Tribolium castaneum: one gene and its partner. The protein of the gene in region 1 binds, or shares a complex with, the protein of each later gene. Links are inferred from orthologs where the notes say so. Each region holds a gene or a part of one and is shown on either strand. Other genes may lie near its edges.

What was found.
Region 2: Sld5 (region 1) and Mcm5 share a complex: the UniProt entries of both Homo sapiens proteins name them as parts of the CMG helicase complex. The link is inferred for Tribolium castaneum from reciprocal best matches to the Homo sapiens genes GINS4 and MCM5.

Annotation. Positions count from the first base shown.
Region 1 is NC_087398.1:5,431,774-5,434,791, reverse strand, and holds Sld5 (DNA replication complex GINS protein SLD5), read right to left. Parts: upstream 1,712-3,018; 5' UTR 1,640-1,711; coding exon 1,228-1,639; intron 1,144-1,227; coding exon 890-1,143; 3' UTR 823-889; downstream 1-822. Other genes in the region: ATP-binding cassette sub-family C member 4, read left to right, coding at 1-238, 285-752. UniProt on the Homo sapiens protein: Required for correct functioning of the GINS complex, a complex that plays an essential role in the initiation of DNA replication, and progression of DNA replication forks.
Region 2 is NC_087396.1:20,945,334-20,949,168, reverse strand, and holds part of Mcm5 (DNA replication licensing factor Mcm5), read right to left. Parts: intron 2,989-3,835; coding exon of another isoform or gene 2,978-2,988; exon of another isoform or gene 2,608-2,977; intron 1,478-2,607; coding exon of another isoform or gene 1,353-1,477; exon of another isoform or gene 1,042-1,352; intron 639-1,041; 5' UTR 513-638; coding exon 358-512; intron 312-357; coding exon 56-311; intron 9-55; coding exon 1-8. Other genes in the region: Pli (protein pellino), read left to right, coding at 1,353-1,477. UniProt on the Homo sapiens protein: Acts as a component of the MCM2-7 complex (MCM complex) which is the replicative helicase essential for 'once per cell cycle' DNA replication initiation and elongation in eukaryotic cells.

The DNA of each region.
Region 1 (3,018 bases):
CGTGGGGCGCACCGGCGCTGGCAAGTCATCGTTAATATCCGCCCTTTTTCGCCTTACGAAAATCGAAGGAGCCATTGAAATCGATGGAGTCAACACTCAATTCATCGGTTTGAATGACCTAAGGTCCAACATTTCAATCATTCCTCAGGAGCCAGTTCTCTTCTCGAATACAGTACGCTACAATCTTGACCCATTTGAAAAATGTGATGACAAGACTTTATGGAAGGCTTTAGAAAACGTGAGTTTTGTAAAACCGCAATATATCACTGATTTTTTTTGTTTAGGTCGAACTCAAAAATGCCATAGACAGCTTAGACCAAAGAGTGAGCGAGGGAGGTTCCAATTTTAGTGCCGGCCAACGCCAGCTTGTCTGTCTTGCCAGAGCTATAGTCAGGAATAACAAAGTGCTGGTTCTGGATGAAGCAACCGCTAATGTTGATCCGGCAACTGATGCTCTGATCCAAACCAGTATACGTAAAAATTTCAAAGAGTGTACAGTCCTAACTATAGCACATCGATTGAATACTATAATGGACTCGGACAAGGTTTTGGTGATGGATGCAGGAGAAGCGGTGGAGTTTGACCACCCACACCGGCTTTTACAAAATCAGGAAGGTCGTTTTAGTCGCATGCTTCGCGAAACGGGGAAAAATTTAGAGACCCAGCTGAAAGAAGTTGCAAAAAATGACTACGAGAACAAATTCGGACCAATAAGTACCAGTGATGAACAAAATGATAATAAGGAAGAATAGAAGATTTATTTTTTTAAAACTTAATAAATAATTGAGACGCTTTAAACTACTTAAAGAATGTTACTTAACATTGAGATTCTAACAGTGTATTTATTTTGAGTTTTTTGTTGATTTTTATCAAATATATTACATATATTTTATATCAATTGGACGTCTCCTTTTTTCACCAAATCAGTCACGCTGTTATATGACAGTATCATTTGCGAACCCACAGTTAAATCAGCGACTTCATCATCGTCACGGCTTGGGTCTATAACAACCCCTTCTACGGCAGTTTTAGCTTTCAAAAACACAAAACTGTTCATATTTGGCGCAACTATGTGACTTTTCCAGTCTTCGAATGGCAAGCCCGGGTAAAAATTAGTCGCATTTTCGAAATGCTGTTCTAAGTCTATAAAAACAAAAAAAAATAAGAAAACAAAACAAAAACAGTAACTAAAAAAATAAAATAGAAAAAAAAAACAAAATATAAAACCTTGTTTGTATTTAATCGCAAATTGTTGTTCGGCTTCCGTTAAATACAACTCTTCTTCTCTCTCGCCCCTCTGTTCCTCTTCTTTTAAAATATGCAAAACATAAGTTTCGATTTTTTCCAATCTGTGACGAAGGTAACTCGCCACCAAAAAACGAATCCTATCGACTTCCAATTGATGAATTCCTTTTTTAAAGTCGGTGGATGGTAAAGTCTCTAAATTTTTTTCCATGTATGATATTTGTCCCAGCACGCAATCGACAACTTCTTGTTTATGAGGGAGGATCTCAGGTGCGAATTTCTCATTAACCCACACTTCCTCCATCATTTCGATTAACTCGGCTGAAGTTAATTGCACGTTGTCATCGTCGTCGTCCTGAATCGTGTTTTCTAAATCTTCCAATTCCAAATCCATTACAAAATAACACAAAACACAACTGTGAACACTAATCAGCTGAAGCGCGGGAAAACGTGCTCAATTGCCAACCGTGAAACACCAAAACCCACTTTAACACGTAGTATTATTGGTTATCTAGCTAAGGGGCACCAAATAATGTATTCTCCACCATTATTTTGCGTTTCCGAATTTATCGACTTGTCTTTTGAAAAATTCCACTGGCGTGGTTATTTTTAAGAACTAAGGTTCGTCCTTGTAGTAAATTCAAACAATGTAGGCCATCGCCATTTGTTCAGATGTCACATTTAATTGTTAACTTTTAGCGCTTTTAATGAGTATTTTTAATGAGCGTGAAACCACATCCATACTCCCATCAATTGCATAAAAAATCACAAAACAAATTGTTCCGGTCGATTGTATGTAAATTACAAATAAACAGATATTACCATTCGCGTATCTAATAAATTTTAAAGATATAGACTTTCTCAGGGGCGTTGCACAATCTTCGCGATCCTTGTGGAGAACTTCTCGAATATTTTTTCCGCAAAAACTTGTTAATGAAAATTAAGTAGGTGAATAACTGAAATGGTTGCTTGCAAATCTTCAATTAAATTGCTGGAGCGTAACGTTTGTACGTCTTTTAAATACTGATGGCATTTAAGTTAGATAAATTACACAAATTTCGTCACTTTATGTAAGAAATTCGTACCAATTCTAGGCAATCGTGCCAATAATTTTTAGTATGAGGAAGTTTTTTCCATTAAATAACAAATTTTCCTTAGCAGTTTTCTTCATTCCGGTTTCCATTCGATTTATCTCTGGTACTTTCAGAATAAATAAGTCATTACGTGTCTGGTAGCCATCTGTTTGTTGTCATCCTACATGAGATTCATCTTATAATCATAACACTTGAAAGTGAACGGTGTTAAGATTATTGTCTGGAAAATTAAGCAAATATTTGCTCAGATCGATCAATAAAAGATCCACTTAAGGCAAGTCAACAATTGCTCGCAGCAGGGGGACTCTATAATGCAACAAGATAATTGATCGTACTTAACACTGATTTATGTAACAATTGTAATTCTTTCAATCTGTACCACGATCTTCTCATTTTTATTACATTTCCCGAGGCAATTTGTCGGTTTTGAAATTTATGTTGTCCAAAGAAGCAATGACAAAACTGGCAGAAGCCATAAAAAGGAGCAAATTGATGACCTCATGAACCATCACATCAGTCGATGAACTTTTTTTTCTTCGACAAACTCTCACTATCCATTGCTTCACCCTCGATACTACAGTTAGTTTAACAGTTTCTTAAATAATAATAATTAATTTTTTCCTTTCATAATTGATGGTTTATTATCGAACGTTTGCTAATCGATCAATTTCGAAATTGC
Region 2 (3,835 bases), on another chromosome or scaffold:
ACGTCCGACTGAAATCATGCGATTGTAAAGCGGTAAACCCCCGAAAAAACCCTACTTTCATGTTCCTTAAGTTTGTCGGAGTGGCGTCTGAAGACAGCATAATTTGTATGTCTTCAACTGCTTCCTCTCCTTCGGGACGTGGGGCTGTGAGTTCGTCGGCCACTTCCTTGGCCGCTTCCTCAAATATAACCAAGTGTTCCGACGGGTGTTTGTATAGTTTGTCGGCCAACGTCTCGTCAAAAGCGCCAACATCTTCAATGTTGACTTCCAGGTAATATTGGCGCAGGTTGTAATTGCGCTTCAGGGTGTCCCTATAAGGGGGTTTCAGTGATTTTTGGCAATAAATTGGAAACAGACCTGTATTTGTAGCTGAAATTGTCGGTGTGGTATTGTCGGATGAACTCCTTGAACTTTTTCTTAACACCTTGTAAATTGATTTGGGGGTCGCTTTGGTTGTCCTCAACCGTGAAATTATCACTGTAAAACACTCCTGGATCATCGAAACCTTCCATTTTCGTATAAAACACCGATTTTGTGGCGAATAAAGCGTTGTTGTTACACGGAAGTAAATTGGCGGGAACTTTGCGCCAAAGCTGCCAACATTAGTGGTGACGTTTGGTGCCACAAATTCACTAAAACTGGTTTAAAAATTCAAATTTGAAATTCTTTATTTATTTCGAACGTTTTCAAGTTATGAACTTGGTTTAATTTGCCGCTTCTGTCCTTTGTTAATAATAATTGGCTCATTTTTTGCTAAAAAACGCAATAATGTCGCAAAAATTCAGCAAAAAAAAATCAAAAAAATCACTGAATTAGCTCAAAAATTGTCAGTGTCACTTTGACAGTTCCAAAAAAATGGCATTTGAATAATTTGGGTAAAAATAATAAAAATAAATAAATCTGACCCAACATGAAAGAAACTGAACCGGACGTTGTTTCGATTTTAAATTTACGATTCAAAAAAATTCTTTTATGTGATTTTTTTTTGACGAGGGGGGTGAAAAAATTTTTGCACTTCTGCGCCCCTCCAGCCTCAAATTGCATCATCTCCGCCCAGATCTAGGCCGCACCACTGGCGTATTTTGAACAAGTTGAAACCAGTCAGATTGGTGGATGTTGGGCGCTGATTCATCCTCGAACCAATCGCTTAGTCGGAAGTGCCACAAAACCTGCCAGATTTCGCCTCCACAGAGCAAAATCTGCGAAAATGTTGTGCTCGTCTTTGTTTTGACTTGTCGACGCAAAGTCATGACAAGAATGGATCTTTCCACTCTTTCCTATAATATTCTGCGCGATTCGGTGGTTGTCGTGACTTGTCTTCTGATATTTAGTGGTGACTTTACGGCCGGAAAATGGACGAGAGAAAAATGGAACCGAAGGAAGTTTCCACTGAAGTTTTAGTTAAAGTGTATTGCGAAATTGAGTGGTGTTTTAGTGACTCTGGGGATAATAACATGCTAATTAAGAAAATGAAGTTGTAAGTTTGCCATGTTTTTTGTTGTTTGTTTTTCTTGTATTACTTTCTTCTTGTGACATTGATATTGATAACGATGTGATAAGAATGGTTGACTATGAACTGCCTAAGACTTAATTTTTGAATAGGTAATGTGAGAATTTCACCACTTTGGCCTTGCCTATGATTAGTCAGCTAAATTTTTCAGAATTTTGAAAAAAAGGCCCCAATATTTTTTTCAAATAATAAAATTACCAGCAGCCAAAAAATGAACATGCACAATTTTAATTTTCAGGGTGAGTAAATAGTGCCAATTAACACTTTAGCAAAAACCTTATCAGGGCCTTTACATTTATTTATATTTTCTTTTGAAACCGATCGTTTAAAACAATATCGTATTTCAAACGTGAATTTGATATTTGTTGGCCTTGTTTTGCAAAATTTAGAGAAATTCTATAGACGAAAAATGCTTTAACCCGATAGAAATATTAAAAATAGGGAAAAATACCACATTTCAGAAGCAATTTTGTTCATTTTTGCTTTTATCTTAGTTAAATCTGTGAGTATACGCGAAAAAAGCTCGGATACGGCTCGATTTGTAAACTTCATTATCGTAATAAATTCTCGTCATTCTCGGTAAATAATAACTCTACAGAGTGTTTCTTTTTAGTACTAAATTATCGCTCCTTGGAGCATATTATTAAAAAAAAGATGCCAAAGAAAGACTTTCTTTGGCACCCCTGTAGATTAAAATTATGTCTAGCCGCGATGTTTTTTTGTCACTTTAAAGTGAAATAAAATAGTTTTCACTGGTAACAAGTTTTTCTTGATCTTGATCTAAATCTTCCAAATTTTTATAATGTCTATTGTTACACCCTAAAGTCTGATTAATTTAATTTATTTATTAATTTATTAGTTCAGTAAAATTACAAAGAGAAAATGTATTCCGACACCATGTTGGTAGCGTTGGTACTCCTGAAAGCCGGCCCTGACCATTGCAATTTCCCACCGCCTTTTTTGCATTAGGCCATTTCGCATTTACGCTGACAAGGTGATAATAGATTTGGTCGATGAATCGTCAATAAAGACATTCAAAAATTCGCCAAAATCGTGCACCCCGCCACTGTCGTCTGTCATTTCGCTTTTTCACTTCCGGTCCCAGCAGATGTCAGCACTCGCCCAATGTTTACATCCCACCGTCGACGTCCCCCACGATCGACATCCATCCACCGCGCCATTGTTATCGGTAAAAGTGCGGAGAGTGTCCGTGGAAAAGCATCACCGTGCGTGTTTTTCCCCTTGGAAGTCGTGCTTTCATCGCAAACGGTGCGAAACCTCCGTGAAAGCGTCCGCCAGTGCAACGAAGACGGCCGTGCCTAGTGAATGCGTGTGCCACCAGTGATAAACATGCACGAATCGGCGGCTCTAGTGATGTTTTTAGTGAAGCAACGACACCAGTGATTGATATTTTTATGCGTTTCGAATACGACAATCGCAGCCAAACTGTTTAAGACGGCTTCAGAAATGGTGAAAAGGTGGGTACTGGCACCACGAGGGGACTTCATCACGATTTAATCGCTTCATTATTGATTTTGTGCGATTATTATGACGACAAAGGGCCATCGCGACGCCTGATTGTCACTGGAAATGTCAACGATCGGCGATTTTTTATCGCTGGCTAAAGGGGCGTTCACACGTGTTGTTGACAATAACAAGGGACGAAAGTCCACTTTTCCTAACGGTGTGCCTTAAGACGTGATCGAAAAATTAGACAATTTTGGGTCACATGTGGGTACAGTACCGCTAGGAAGTTTTGGCCATTAGTTGCCGGCCTGGCCAAAATTCTCGGTCACGACTGTACATTTCTAATTACCATTTATCAGTGATCTCATTGGTGTAGTCGTAGCATGTTTTTCATGAATTATACATTACAAATAGCTATTAATGATGCACGTGCTTATTAGCGTGAGTAATTGAGATTTTCATACAAAATTGAGCAAGTTTTTAACCTCGTTTGACGATATTTTGTTTGAGTTTTACAAGAGGAAGTGCTTATCTGTTTCGCAAGATAATAAATATTCCAAGTCGAAGATTAAGGACTGAAAACCAAAGATTAATTCTAGAGGTAGTTGGTCACAAATTGCAAGAAACTGAATGAATCACAACAGAAAAATACCAGTCACTCTTACAAATTGTAGAGTAGTGGAACTGAGAACTAATGCAAAGTCCACAAGCAAATTTTTTTTTTGCATTTTAACCCAAACATTTATATAATTACGTCAAGAATTACTTTATTTTGAGTTCAAAAACTCACTTATTGTGCGAAATTTCCTTCCAACACGGCAAATAATTTCCAACTATGGTCGAAAATACTGAGTTCTG